2 linked regions of the Elephas maximus indicus genome follow. The protein of the gene in region 1 purifies or fractionates together with the protein of each later gene. This does not show direct contact. Links are inferred from orthologs where the notes say so. Each region holds a gene or a part of one and is shown in the gene's direction. Other genes may lie near its edges. The genes, in order: S100B and IQGAP1.

Region 1 (7,503 bases):
TGGGAATCATGTCCTAACCAAGTTGATGCACACTTTTTGGGGGGACATTATTCAATCCATGACAATCAGTCTCTTATATACATTTGATGATAGATTGCTGATATGCACACTCAACCTTATGGCTAGGTGAGTCAGACAATCTTTGGGCTGTATAATCACCTGACGCACCACAGTCAGATGTTCTGTCTCTACTGAGTCCCTAGAGCAAGCCAGAAACTTTTTCTCAAAATGAGAAGAGTTAACTTCCAAAAAGAACATAGACTTGGTCCAAAGTCCTAGAGGCTTGTAGTGTGAGTCTCCTATTGGTGCTTGTCAGAGGATCCATACTGCATCCCTAGGCAGCACAAACACTTTGAATATCACTGGATCTGCTGGATCCTAAGGACCAAGTGGTAAAGCAACCTGTGCTAACCTAAACTTTCTCTGGTTCCCACTTGAAACTGCCAGGCTTATGAGTTGAAGTAGCAAACTCAAATGCAGTATATGTTGTACATAAAATCCCAAAAGCTCTACTAAGTGTTGTTCTTTTTCATGGTAGGTGGTGTAAGATGCAGCAAGTTATCTTTCACTTGGAGGAGATATCTTGGCATGTCTCAGACTGCTGAACTCCCCCTCAAGAGACTTCACTAGGTGGTGGGCCCCTAAATTTTCATGTGCTAATCTCCCATCCTCTATTTTTCATGTCTTACTAAAGCACCTACAGCAATTGCTACTTCCTGTTCATCGATCTAATCAGCATATTATCATGAATATAGTGGATCAGTGTGATGCTTTGTTAAACATTGAGATGATCAAGATCTCTGGACACTATACTATGGCAGAGAGCAAGAGAACTAGCATGTCCCCAAGGCAACACTGTGAGGGTATATTGTTGGCCCTTCTAGGTAAAAGAAACTGTCTCTGACGATCTTAGCAATTATGTGTGGAGAAAAAGGCATTAGTTAGATCAATAGCTGCATATCAAGCGCCAGGTCCTATGCTGACTTTCTCTAGTAAAGACACATCATCCGGCACAGCAGCTACAATTGGAGTTCTCACCCAATTACAATAAAACCACCCTGCGAGGCAGGACAGTGATCATTTCATTTTACAGAAAGATTTATTAATTTGCCCAAAGTCACACAAATGTTAAGTAGCATAGCTGAGATTCAAACCTAGCAGTTATATGAATCTGTGGGACCTTGGCGAGGCCGTAGATTTGGGTACTGTTCAGCACAGGGATGGGATGGTGACCAAAGAAAGCTCTCATGTCCTTCCCCATGCTCTTCTTCTAAAGGCCTTGTGTCTGTGTGTTCCTGTGGGGGCTGAGCGAAATCACTCTGAGGGCCCATAGCACTAGGGAGCCCTTCTCATCCAAGTGGGAGTTCCTCTTCCTGCCAGGTTGCCCCAGCACCACGTGCCTACCTCTCTGAAGAGCTTCCTCTCCCCCTTCTCCTCGTCTGCTCCTATAGACCCTGGGACAGGGCGAATGCTGTTGGCTATCCCAAGAAGTTGTGGTGTCTTGTCTCCAGAGGGCGGGCCTGCCTGGGTCCCCAGAGTTGAGCCCAACACCCTGCATACAGTAGGTGTGGAGTAGTTGGGTGAGTGTACTCCACAATTTTTCCTTTAACCCCTGCAGGAGTAGGCTGAATATTTTATGTGTATACTGTATGGTAAACTCAGAGTCTATGCTGCCGTTCTGGGGAAGTGGTTAAGGTTTGCAGGGTGGCCATTCCCACAGCTCCAGTGCCTGGCATGCAAGAGGTGACACACCGATGCTATGGGAGTGTAGGAGATTGGGTGGGGGTCTGGGTTGGGATAACTCAAGCCCCATGACTCACAGTTCTGTGCTATTTCCAGGGCACATTTATGGATGTTGAATAGTCAAGAATTTTCTGGTTAAAATAAATGACAAGAAAACAACTGTGTACACAGACATCTTTGTGCATTGGTACTTCACGGCCAGTTTGAACCTGAATGAGAAACAGAAGGAGAGCACTGATTCTGGTTCAGATATCCTATGGGGACCACGGACATACCTGATAAGTTTTGGGGCAATACCTTTGCATAATTTGTCAAAAGAAATGCCTACTTTTTGACAAGAACCCACAAACTGGATTTCTGTGTTTGCAGGTTGAGGTAGCGTGCTGTTAAAGCTGGGCAGTAGGATTGTAGGTGTGGTGGGGGGGTAGGTGGTTGTATTTCTCTTCCCTGTGACTGGTGTGGTGGGGCCTTCAGCAAGGGGCAGACCATCATTACTTCTCATCTTGGAAAGCAGAGTGTTTTGACAGGCTGTTTCTTTTTTTATTGTATTTTAGATGAAGGTTTGCAGAGCAAACTAGTTCACTTTAAACAGTTAATACACACATTGCTTTGTGACATTGGTTGCCAAACTGACAACATGTCAACACTCCCCCCTTCTCGACCTTGGGTTCCCCATTACCAGCTTTCCTGTCCCCTCCTGCCTTCTCAACCTTGTCCCTGGGCTGGTATGCCCATTTAGTCTCATTTTGTTTTATGGGCCTGTCTAATCTTCGGCTGACGGGTGAACCTCAGGAGTGACTTCAGTGCTGAGTTAAAAGGGTGTCTAGGGGCCATACTCTCAGTGTTTCTCCAGTCTGTGTCAGACCAGTAAGTCTGGTCTTTTTTGTGTATGTGTGTGAGTTAGAATTTTATTACACATTTTTCTCCAGCTCTGTCCAGGATCCTCTATTTTGATCCCTCTGACAGGACATTTCTAAGGTACTATCCAACTCTGAGGCAGCGGGTTGGGTGGGTATCCAACTATGACAGCCTCTGACAGTGGAGGGAGAGGCTTGGGGTACATCTTAGTCTTCTAGTGCTGCCATAATAGAAATACCACAAGTGGATGGCTTTAACAAAGAAAAAATTTTTTTCTCACAGTCTAGTAGGTTACAAGTTCAAATGCAGGGCGTTGGCTCCAGGGGAAGGCTTTCTCTCTCTGTGGGCTCTAGAGGAAGGTCCTTGTCCTCAGTATTCCCATGGTTGAGGAGCTTCTCAGGTACAGGGACCCCGTGTCCAAAGGATGCGCTGTGCTCCTGGTGCTGCTTTCTTGGTGGTATGAGGTCCCTAACCCTCTGCTTGCTTCCCTTTCATCTTTTGAGAGATAAAATGTGGCGCAGGCCACACCCCAGGGAGACTCCCTTTACACTGGATCTGAGTAAGGGCGGTGTTATAATACCACCCTAACCCTCTCGACATAAAATTACAATCACAAAATGGAGGACAACCACAGAATATTGGGAATCATGGCCTAGCCAAGTTAATACACAGATTTTTGGGGGGACATATTTCAATAATAAACAAGGATTTTCCCCTAAAAGCATCAAGCATCCATTATACCACATGTTTTGGTGGAGCCCCCTCCTTGCTGACAGTGGACTCAGTAGTTTCTGGAGGCAGCCGTGTTGGCTCCAGCCAGAGAAGCCCCCGCTGCCCTGACAGGGCATCACATCTCCAGGTGGAGGCCAGACCAGGGGAAGCTGTAGACAGGGGAGAGGGGCTCCATGGGCCTCACCATTATGGGAAGGGCTCTGGAAGACAGTTGAGGTTCATCTAAGGATTTCCAGTGATAACGATAGCAGAATAAAAAAAAAAAAATGGAAAATATACTCATCATGACTTATCATGGGCCATAGTGGACATATCATAAGAAAACTCTTAAAAATGAGCTTTTGTCTTTGGGAAAAGGATCTATTTTGGCTTTAGCTAGCTAGATGTTCGGTCCGCACCACGGAAATAAAAGAAGCCGGGCATTCACTCAGCAAACATTTATTGAGCGATGCCTGTGTGCTTAATCTCCTACATTCCGCCTGTACTTGGAAGCTTCTTGTTCTTGGCTGGACATTTGCTTTGTTTGAATTAATTAATCCATCTCGCTCTCTTTTCCCCACCCCCACACTGCTTTTGAGAGGAACATCAATATTCATGTAATTAAAAAAAAAAAAAACACAAAAAGCTGACTCCTGCTTCCTGCCCAACAGGGCTCTTTCTTTCCCTTGGCCCCTGCGCAGTCCTGGCTGTCCAGCAAGTCCCTGGGCGGTCGCTTGGTCAATGCAGCCCTGTGTGCCGGCCTGTCTGCCCCAGCCGCCTCCCCGCCCTTGGCCCCCATTGGCTGCCACTGCCTGCAGTGCGTCTGCACCAGGGTCCACTCCCCCTCCGCCTGGGAGGAAGGAATAAGAGCCTGCTTCTGTCTGCCACTCCTGCCACTCCGCTGCTGCAGCCAGAGACCACAAAACAGCAAAGCAGGTGAGGAAGGGCAGCTCTTTTCTGTCTTTGGAGAGAAGGGGGAAAGGGATGGGGCTAGGGGTTGGGTAGTGGCTAAAAGGCGTCCTTAAGATAACTGGCAGCATTTCAAAAGTGTCAACAGCACTGCATGCTTAAGTCTTAATTTTTGATCTTATTACTGCTTTGTGGACCCCTGAGGATGTCCACACTAGACAGCCAGAGGTGCGTTTTACTTGTTTCTGTGACCACGAATCAGAGAAGCCTCAGGTCTAAGGGCTTAGAAGCAATTGCTGACGTTTTCCCAGAGGTACAAATGCTTCTTCCCCAACTCTTCTCTAACTTTTTGTTCCCCACTGGGGCTCAGAATAGGAGCCCTAGTTGTGCAGTGGTTAAAGTGCTTGGCTGCTAACTGAAAGGTCAGAGGTTCGAATCCACCAGCCACTTCACTGCAGAAAGATGTGGCAGCCTGCTTTCATAAAGATTACAGCCTTAAAAAAACTATGGGGCAGTTCTACTCTGTCCTTTAGGGTCGCTATGAGTTGGGGCATTGGGTCTGGGGCTGAGAACAGTTTAGAACCTAATACCAGCTTAGCCTTGTATCATAAACAAATGTTTTATTTTCATCCTCCTTTTTACTTCTTCCATGGTCCTGGATAAGTTATTACTTCCTGGTTTTCTCATTTCCCTCGATTTGAAATGTCCATGTCCTGCTGGACACCACTCAGAAATTCCATGACAGTTGGGGAAGGTCTTCACAAATAAACAACGAATTGGGTCAAAAAGAAAAAAAAAAAAAAGCTTAGGTTTCTGGTGAGTTTTAGGGAACCCAGGTGGCGTAGTTGTGAAAAGCTATGGCTACTAACCAAAAGGTCAGCAGTTCGAATCCACCAGGCGCTTCTCGGAAACCCTATGGGGCAGTTCTACTCTGTCCTATAGGGTCGCTGTGAGTTGGAATCAACTTGACGGCAACAGGTTTGGTTTTTTTGGTGGGTTTTAACTTTCCTCAGTCTTACAATCCCTCAAAGAGGTAGAGCCCTTTAGAGTGGGCTCTCAGAGTGTATGTGATGTGTAGGTGTGTCTTCCTGAACAGCGGAAGCTCCAGAAGTCTCATTTCCAAAATAAAAAGATTAATGCAGAACTTTCCCAAAGGGAAGTGAGAAGGAAATATGGGTATTTGCTTGCAACTTTCTTAAAAGATAATCTTTACACCATCAACCGTTTCTTAAGTCACAGGGAAGAAAAAATGAATTTGCAGTAAGGTTAAGAAGAAAACTACATTTTATGGAGTTCTATAATTTTATAATATATGATGGAGCTCTGGCGGCACAGTCGTTAACAGCTTGGCTGCTAACCAAAAGGTTAGCAGTTCGAATCCACCAGCCACCCCTTGGGAATCCTTTGGGGCAGTTCTACTCTGCCCTATGGGGTCGCTGTAAGTTGGAATCGACTTGACAGCAACGGGATTGGTGTTCATATATGAAATATGTGTTTTTTGCCTTTTTTTTTAAAAACCCATTACTCATGCTTTAGAGGAAAATCATCGAACCTTCTCTTCCCCAAATCATCATGGACTTAAAGCAACATCAGGATGCAGCAAAAGTTTACTAGGTTTCTTAAAAAAAAAAAAAAATCAGTAGTTGAAAACTTGAGGGCAAAGAACGGGAAAGTATGAAATCTTAGAGATTTTAACTCATCTGAATTGTCTTATATATATGAAATACCTGATTCTTAGGGATTTAAGCAAAGTACCCTGGTTACTAATAGCGTGGCTTTGGCGAAGATCAGGCGAAGACAAAAATAACCTCAATCATGTTCCCTTTGGGAGATTAGAAATAAATAAGATTTTAAACTTTTATTTTAAGATGTAAATGATATATTCAACATGGGAGTGATTTTTCAACAGTGAAATTTATTTTTAGTTACAGCACTGCAAAGGTTTTTACTTGATTTAATGATTAGAATTCAAGGTCCAAAGTGGGTAAACGTCTCTGCCTGAGCTTCTCAGTTTTGTGAGACAATGAACCAGCCACCCTTTGTAAAGAGTGCCATGCTGCTGGGATTGAGGAAATAATTTCTCAATTCACTGGCCATGATATAAAGTACATGGTATGAGGGAAGCAGGAAACTTCTTGCTTTGGTATCTACAGAGAAACACTTCTTTCCAAGGTTTGTCCCAGTCACTTTCTTGAATAACCCACCATTTCCCCATTCACTTGGATAGGCGCCTTCATGAATACTAACGAAATGCTTGGGCTGCGGCTCAGCCTCCAGCTGCATTCTCTCTACGCCTCTGTCAGGACACACCAGTTCAATCGTTCAGACTTATAATACATTTTCGTTTCTGGTAGGTCAGGGTGCCTCTCGATATTCTTCTTTAAGAAAAAATAAATTGTGGCAATTCTACCATATTTATTTTTCCAGATGGATTTGACAACTGTTTTTTGTCATGTTGCTCACCTATAAAAAATTGCATTAAGATCTTTATTAAAAATGAGTTTAATTTTTATATTAATTCAGGGGAAAACAAGGTTCTATATTTATGTTCCTTAGAATCTTTTGGAAGGGCCTGCACTTTTCTTGTCAAATTTATTCTTAGATAAAATGTGTGTGACCCTGGATAGAGGTATCTGCAGACATTACGTTAAATGTTTTATGTCCAAACAAAACACAGCACATGAGAAGACATCTTTCCCTTGTAGAACCTGTAGGATGTCTGAGCTGGAGAAGGCTATGGTGTCCCTCATTGATGTTTTCCATCAATATTCTGGAAAGGAAGGTGACAAGCACAAGCTAAAGAAGTCTGAACTCAAGGAGCTCATCAACAATGAGCTTTCCCATTTTTTAGAGGTGAGTATTCCTTTGTGAAATCAACAGTTTATCCATCTTCCTTTTTGGGAACCGTGGTGGCGTAGTGGTTAAGAGCTACAGGTGCTAACCAAAACCCTGGCAGTTCGAATCCATCAGGCTCATTGGACACCCTGTGGGCAGTTTTACTCTGTCCCGTAGGGTCGCTGTGAGTCAAAATCAACTCGACCACAATGGGTTTGGTTTTTTTTTTTTCTACTTATAAAGCCACCTGTACACATTCTCTTCTGAGATGCCCTGAAGGTGATTCCAAATCTGTTTCAGGACTCCTGGGTTGCTTCTGAAAGCACAACTGACCCCTCATTACTGAGGCAGCTTAGAGGGGCCCCACTGTTTTCATTTTCTTGATTTGTCTTGTGTATAGTAGGTACATTAAGGAAAAACTGCTGTCTTAAAAGCAAAAGTATGGGT
Region 2 (8,351 bases), on another chromosome or scaffold:
TCACCATCCATTTTGTGATCTGATGACATGAGCCAGCAGCCTGCTATCTGACCTGCCAATTTTGGGTTACTCTTACTTATATTGCTCACGCTGACCCTAATATTGTGCAACTCAAATTACTAAAATATTGCCAGTCTTTAATCAAATACTTTATTTTTCACAGATTAAAGAAGCCTTTGATGACCAAAAGCCAGAACCTCAAAACCTTCCCAATATTGCTCCAGGAGAGTATGTATATTGGAAGAGACATCAACTGAAGGACTCCTTGGAGCCCCTTTGGAAGGGGCCATATCTGGTTCTCCTCACCAAATTGTGTGCTGCCAAACCAGAGAGAGTCAAACTTTGGATCCATTTGTCACAATTAAAGAAAGTCAAAACACCTCAGTGGATTAGCCAGCCCTCTGGAGAACTCAAGATTACCTTGAGATGCTCTGATGGCTAGAAGCAGATGACATCTGATGTAGACAGCTAGTCCCAAGATCACGAAACAAGATGACATGCACGTTGCTGAATTTTGTGGACTTTGCTGTTTAAGCTTTGTTCTTTTCTTCATAGTAATTCCATCTGAGGGTTGGGATGAAAATACTTCTGTTAAGTTGGCCCAATCAGTAGTAAGTCCCAGTGATTTGACTGAATGTTGGATCTGTCATCCCAATCCATGATCAGGATGTGAAAATTCAGATCCAGTAGTGTCTCCAATATCAAATTTTAGTCTTGCACCTGAAACAGTTATTAATCTTAGTGTTACCTTTAAACGAGTCATACATGTCAGATTATGGTATCTCCTTGGATTGTTGGCTCAACCTCAGGCAGCATGTTTCAATCTAACCCATGCTGTAGGATGGAGACTGAATTGTTCTAGACAGAAATATTTATCTGGTCTCTATCACAGTTTTAGGAGATTACTACAGTACTGCCAAACTGCTAATTTCCCTAGTTATTTCAATACATTGCCTCTGCATGTGAATCAGTTGCCATATTGTCTAAATGGAAGCCAGACAGATCCTAATAATCTGTCCCCTCTTTGTATTAAGTTCTGGAGCACAGTGAAATTAGGACAGTTATTCATTTGTGAAAATTGTCTTACTGAAAGTTGATTTGAGCTGGCTAAGAGAACTATTCCTTCCCCAGATAATTATACTGAAAATGGGATGATCTGTGGTCCCCATGGATATGTATTTTTATGTGGAGGATCCAATTACAGCACCATGAGAGAAAGCCTAACCCTAGTGATGAGCTATATGCTCAGACATTGCTCTGCTTAGTTGGTTGGAGAATGTGGGGTCAATGTCCTTTAGGGATTTTAGGAGTTCCCCTAAATATTCACTCCAATAATGAAAGTCTGCCTCTGGTCTTCAGTTTGTCATACTGCGGTGGCTTGCATATTACTGTAATGTTGGAAGCTATGCCACTGGTATTTCACAGACTAAAGAAGCCTCTGATGACCAAAAGCCAGAACCTCAAAGGTGGACAGGTTTCAGCAGAGCTTCCAGACTAAGACAGGCTAGGAAGAAGGGCCTGGAGGTCTACTTCTGAAAAAATTGACCACTGAAAACCATTTGAATAGTGGCAGAACATTGTCTGAATATAGTGCTGGAAGATGAGCCCTTTCAGGTTGGAAGACACTCAAAATACAACTTGGGAAGAGTTGCCGTCTCAAAGTGGAGTTGACCTTAATGACATGGATAGAGTAAAGCTTTCAGGACCTTCATTTGCTGATGTGGCACGACTCAAAACGAGAAGAAAAACTGCAAACACCCATTAATAATTGGAACATGGAATGTACAAATTATTGATGTAGGAAAATTGGAAATCATCAAAATTGAAATGGGAAGCTTAAAGATACCTTAGGCATTAGTGAAATGAAATGGACTGGTATGGGCCATTTTGAATTGGACAAGCATATGGCCTACTATGCTGGGAATGACAGCTTGAAGAGGAACGGTGTCACATTCATCATCAGAAAGAACATTTCAAGATCTATCCTGAAGTACAACACAGTGATAGAATAATATTCATATGCCTACAAGGAAGATCAGTTAATATGACTACTATTCAAATTTACACACCAAACGCTAAGGCCAAAGATGAAGATTTTTACCAACTTCTGCAATCAAGATGCATACATAGTTATTGGTGATTGGAATGTGAAAGTTGGAAACAAAGAAGTTGGAAAATATGGTCTTGGTGATAGAAATGACACTGGAGATCCCATGATAGAATTTTGCAAGACCAACTGCTTATTCATTGCAAATAACTTTTTTCACCAACATAAATGGCGGATATACACGTGGACTTCTCCAGATGGAATACACAGGAATCAAATTGACTATACCTGTGAAAATAGACAAGGGAGAAGCTCAATATCATCAGTCAGAATAAGGCCAGGGGCCGACTGTGGAACAGACCATCAATTTCTAAAATGCAAGTTCAAGTTGAAGCTGAAGAAAATTAAAACAAGTTCACAAGAACCAAAATACGACTTTGAGTATGTCCTGGCTGAATTTAGAGACCATCTCAAGAATAGATTTCGCACGTTGAAAATTAATGAATGAAGACCAGACGAGTTGTGGGATGACATCAAGGCCATCATACATGAAGAAAGCAAAAGGTCATTAAAAAGATAAGAAAGAAAAGACCAAAATGGATATCAAAAAAGACTCTGAATTTGCTCTTGAACATAGAGCAGCTAAAGCAAATGAAAGAAATGATGAAGTAAAAGAGCTGAATAGAAGATTTCAAAGGGCGGCTTGAGAAGACAAAGTAAAGTATTGTAATAACATGTGAAGACCTGGAGTTTGAAAAGCAAAAGGGAAGAATACACTTGGCATTTCTCAAGCTGAAAGAACTGAAGAAAAAATTTGAGCCTCGAGTTACAGTATTGAAGGATTTTATGGGCAAAATATTAAATGACACAGGAAGCATCAAAAGAAGATGGAAGGAATACACAGAATCACTGTACCAAAAAGAATTGGTCGACATTCAGCCCTTTCAGGAGGTAGCATAAGATTAAGAACTGATGGTATTGAAAGAAGCCCAAGCTGCACTGAAGGCATTGTTGAAAAACAAGGTTGTAGGAATTGACAGAATACCAACTGAGATGTTTCAACAAACAGAGGCAGTGCTAGAGGAGCTCATTTGTCTATGCCAAAAAATTTGAAAGACATCTACCTGGTGAACCGGCTGGAAAAGATCCATATTTGTGCCCATTCCAAAAAAGGTGATGTAACAGAGTGTGGAAATTATTGGACAATGTCACTAATATCATAGGAAAGTAAAATTTTGCTGAAGATAATTCAAAAGCAGTTGTAGCAGTACATAAACAAAGAACTGCCAGAAATTCAAACTGGATTCAGAAGAGGATGTGGAATGAGGGATATCATTCTGATGTCAGACAGTCTTGGCTGAAAGCGGAGAATACCAGAAAGATATTTACCTGTGTTTTTATTGATCATACAAAGACATTTGACTGTGTGGATCATAACAAATTATGGATAAAGTTGAGAAGAATAGGAATTCCAGAACTCTTAATTGTGTTTATGTGAAACCATTACATAGACCAAGAGGCAGTAGTGAGAACAGAACAAGGGGATACTATGTGGTTTAAAAAGTCAGGTAAGATGTGCATCAGGGTTGTATCCTTTCACCATGCTTATTCAATCTGTATGTTGAGCAGATAATCTGAGACGCTGGGCTTCAGGATTAGAGCAAGACTCATAAATAACCTGCAATATACAGATGACACATTATTGCTTGCGGAAGGCGAAAAGAACGTGGAGTGCTTGCTGATGAAGATCAAAGACTACAGCCTTCAGTATAAAGAAAACAAAAATCCTCACAACTGGATCAATAAGCAACATCATGATAAATGGAGAAAAGTTTGAAGTTGTCAAGGATTTCATTTTACTTGGGTACACAATCAATGCCCATGGAGTGCCAGAGCTGTGTGCCTTCGGGGCTGAGGCTTCCTTTCAGAGGGGGTTGCCCCCCACCCCCAGGCACTTATTACAAAGCTAAAGAGCTTTGTAACACTTGCCTGAGTAGGGCAGAGGCCCTGAAGGGCCAAGGACCAGGGAAAGGCCTGAATGTGAGTGCCAATGAGAACCTGCTGTCCCAATAGAAGAACTGTATCTTGCCTATTTCCTGATTCTGAATTGTACCTGTTACTTCCCTAATAAGCCCCATAACTGTGTATGGTCTGTGAGTTCTGTGTGGCCATTGCAACTAATTATTGAACCCATTTTTTAGGGAAGTAGAGTGCCGTGGGAGGTACAGATGGTGTCAGAATTGGTAAAAAGGTTGGAGAGAGTGAAAGTATGTTTGACCTCTGCCTCATAGGTATCAGCTTTGGGCTGTTGCATATAATGATCCCCCTCGTCCCTCTGAAGTTAGAGGAAGCCTGGTGGTAATGAACTGAGATGAGAGGCGCGAGTGATGCTAGCTTTCATGGTTAAGGTTGTGTCAACTTTGCTGTGCCATGATTCTCTGTGGTTTGAAAGTTATGTAATGATGTAATTTGGCAGTTATGTAATGACGCAGTCATCCTCTATTTTTGCATAATGCTGATTTTCACATACTGACCTGGTCTTTGGAACCCAACCATGTTGAAGAGGAGTAGGTGTCTTTTTGAAACAGGCAGGGGAAGAGGCACTCTTAAAAGGGGCAAAGAATCCTTGGATTAAAGAGAATAGGGAAGAACACTGCCAGGGACTACAGGGGAAAGGTGTTTGGGCAGATATGTTCTTCTGCTTTAGCATCTACATCTCAAACACTTGGAGGGCTGAGCTGTTCTAATACGATGACCGCTGGTGAATCTGGAAGAGGCTTGAGGCCAGATTGCCAGATTGTGCGGAGAGGCTCCAACAACCCCTTGGGCCCCCTCAAAGCATGCCTTCATTAAGCCCTTTGTGCAGACGAGCGTGGCTCACCCGGGAGGGGAAGCAAGGTAGCCCATCGTTTTGATTTCTAAAAAAAAAAAAAACCCAGATTTCTAGCCACCGACAAACACGGCCTTTTTGTCAGAGTTGCGGACGTAGCAAACGGCGGCCGCGGCACTGGGTGAGGAGCGCGAACTGGGCCAGCAACTCCGCCTCCTTCCTTCCGCCGGTTCCAGCCTGAGCGAGGCACGGGGCGGGGCCGGAAGAACGAGGCGGGGCACGAGGCTGGGGCTGGGCTGCTCGGGCCCCGCCCTCTTTCTCCCGCTCGGGTCCGCGCCGCAGGGCGGGGCCGCTAGGGCGCGGCCTGGGGGCGGGGCCAGAGGCGTGGGCGGGGCCTACAGAGCCCGGGCAGCCCGCGCACTGCAGGCTTCACAGCTGCCGCTGCCGCGCCTCGAAGGTCTCACCGCTTCCTCAGCAGAGACCCGGGCTCGGTCGCCATGTCCGCCACGGACGAAGTTGACGGGCTGGGCGTGGCCCGGCCGCACTATGGCTGTGAGTGTGGGGCTCCGCGGTGCGGGAACACCAAGACCGGGCTCGCTGCCTCCGAGGCGCAGTGTTCCCGGGGGCTCGGCGGGGAGGGTGGGGCAGGGCGGTGCGGGCCGCGCGGACCCGGAAGAGCTGGTCCGGTGGGGCTGCGGGCGGGCGGGCGGGGCGGCGAGGCCCCCGGCCCGGGTCCCGCTCGGGCTCGGAGGCGGCAGGGAAGACCCCGGAGGCCTCCCCTCCTTAGCCCGGGCTCTGCGGTCCGAGGGGCCGCACCCATCGCCTCCGCCGCCCGCCGCGGCCGAGATTGGGGAGACGGCCTAGGGTGAGGTGGCAGGAGGACGATGCAGGGCGTGTCCCGGGCACCGGCGACGCGGGCTCCGCTCGGGCCTCGTGGGAAGGTGCCTCCCCGTTGGACGCGTTCCCCGAGAGGCTGCGGGGTAGACCCGGGGTTCAGGCCTGCCCGCTGTGAGGTGCAGCTTTGGACGAGTCACTTCAGTTCTTCGGGCTTAGTTCCCTCGTCAGGATTTCAAAAGTAAAATAAAAAAAAGCCTTCCGACTTCCTCATTTTCTGAATCTCCTTTTTTGTGTCTGTTTTTGGGACATCGTTGAACTGCAGATGGGATAGTTACCCCTGGCCAAAGGAGGGATCCTTTTAGAGCTCTTGAGGTTTTCAATTTTATTTTGTATTCTGGGGATGATGTTCTTTTTTAAGGATAATTTCACTCATCAGTTATGTGTGAGGTACTGTACCATGTTAATTAAAACATGGAAATTAAAGATGAGTAAGACCAGGTCCTTCCTTCAACAACATTTTAATCAGACAGGTGTACAACCTAATGAAGATAAGGTGTAATAAAGATAAGAGATAGGTCAACTGGGCATAAACAGTAATGTGGGTGAGGAGAAGAGACTTGGTTAGGAACTGTGTGAACACAGGTGGTGACATTTGAACAGAGCCTTGAAGTATACTGTGTAGAGAAGAAGTTTGACAGGATAGAGTGGGGCAAGAGACATGACATGAAGAAGGAAGAGCGGGAACTAAGGTGTTGAAGATAGAAGGCCGTGTTGAGAACTCAGTGGTGTGGAGTGCACAGTGGTGGGAGGAAGGGCAGGGAGAGGAAGGAGATGAGTTTCCAGAAGTAGTTGGGCCAGATTGGGAAAGGCCTTGAATGCCATGCCGAGGAGTTAGGAATTCATTCTATACCCGGGGTGCCCATGCAGGAGGCAGATTGCTTCCAGGTTATGCTCATAGGCTTTGGAGGCAGAATTTCTGAGTTTCATTCCAGGCCCCACCACTTACTAGCCCTGAGCTGAACTCACCCAGCCCCAGTTTCCTCGACTGTAAAATAAGAGTGATAACCATAGGATTATTGTGTGTCTTCAGTGAACAAATGCATGTAAAAAGCTTAGTATACCGCTGCCACTTAGTTTTCAATAACTACTGGCTTTGGTTATTAATGAAATAGAAGAACATGATCACATCTGCATTTAGAAAACCAGATCTGGGCAAACTTGGGCCCAAATCTCAAGCACCAGTATTTTTCAAGGTCACAGTAAAATTTAGTACATGCTGATATTATTGTACTTTGTGAGAAAGAGTAAGATTGGTATAATCGAAACCCCAAAGTTCTTGTTTTATGAAAGTCATTGTAGTACCTCATTATCCACACATCCGCCGGTTGCCCTGGCCTTCTAGGTGACTAGCAGGAATTTGATGCTGTGACGTTCTGTTATCTCTCAGGAGGGTTACAGATCTCTGTGTTTACATTCTGTCTTTCATGTTTTAGCTGTCCTGGATAATGAGAGACTTACTGCAGAGGAGATGGATGAAAGGCGACGCCAGAATGTGGCTTATGAGTACCTTTGTCATTTGGAAGAAGCAAAGAGGTAAAGATTGGCTGGCTGGAGAGACAGTGGGGAGAAGGGAGCTGATACGTTGTGGATGCAGATAAAGATCTCTTTGAGTGTGTTGTAGGTGTAACTGTGGGAGGCTGGTAGTTGAGGGAATAAGTATAGGTAGGGTGTTTATTCATGGGAGCAAGTAGACTTGATGGCAGTTTATCATGAAACACTGATGGGTATTTATGTATACTGAAAAATCTCCAGATTGATGCTGATTTATATGGTTATGGTACACGTTTTGGATGCTCTGCTATGGGGGCAAAACAGCATTTTTAGGGTTTGAAGTTCTTGCCTTTAATGTCTCATTCATTCTTCACTGGCTTGTGGAGTGGGTGTGTGGTTTGGGAGGCGCAGAGTGCTGTGGGTATAAATTCATCCACTTGCCAGTTTTCAAAAACAGTTAACCAGAGACAGCGTCCTTTGCTTTCTTTATGAAGTGGATTTATAGCTGCTATTTTCCTTTTTTCAGATGCTTCAGAATCTTGTGGTCTTAGAGTGTTGATTTATTTTGCTATCGGTGGTCCCATTTCTTTCAGTCTAGTGTTTGTGTTCCTTTGTAAAGTCCCAGGGCAGATAAATGTAATTACAGGTCGTATGTTCTGTAAATCAGTGATTAGGTGGAAAAGGCTAGAGAGGGATAAAGAAAGGTATTTGCAATCAAAATTTAATGAAAATCAAGGATATTTCAAACGGTCTAGTAAACAAAGAGCTTCTTCTTTGATTTTGAGAACTTTAAAACACTATAGTAAAGTTCGGAGAACAATGCAACAAACATCCATGTATTCACTGCCCAGAACTAACAACTGTTAACATTCTAGATATTTCCCTTTCTTCTTTTTTTTTTTTTTAAAGGGGAAAATGGTGTTTCATTATGGTTTTCTTTATTGTAAATGTATGTAAACAAAACATTTGCCATTTCAACACTTTTTACATGTATAATTCATTGATGTTAATTACGTCGTGTTATGCAACATCGCCAGTATGTGCTTCCAAATTTTTTCATCACCTTTAGCAGAAACTCAGTACCCC

What was found.
Region 2: the proteins of S100B (region 1) and IQGAP1 purify together in Homo sapiens (co-immunoprecipitation; 3 studies listed by BioGRID and IntAct, with this or other methods). This does not show direct contact. The link is inferred for Elephas maximus indicus from reciprocal best matches to the Homo sapiens genes S100B and IQGAP1.

Annotation. Positions count from the first base shown.
Region 1 is NC_064820.1:232,025,879-232,033,381, reverse strand, and holds the start of S100B (protein S100-B), read left to right. Parts: upstream 1-4,142; 5' UTR 4,143-4,248; intron 4,249-6,926; 5' UTR 6,927-6,936; coding exon 6,937-7,074; intron 7,075-7,503. UniProt on the Homo sapiens protein: Small zinc- and- and calcium-binding protein that is highly expressed in astrocytes and constitutes one of the most abundant soluble proteins in brain.
Region 2 is NC_064831.1:74,780,572-74,788,922, forward strand, and holds the start of IQGAP1 (ras GTPase-activating-like protein IQGAP1), read left to right. Parts: upstream 1-5,274; 5' UTR 5,275-5,374; coding exon 5,375-5,429; intron 5,430-7,207; coding exon 7,208-7,307; intron 7,308-8,351. UniProt on the Homo sapiens protein: Plays a crucial role in regulating the dynamics and assembly of the actin cytoskeleton.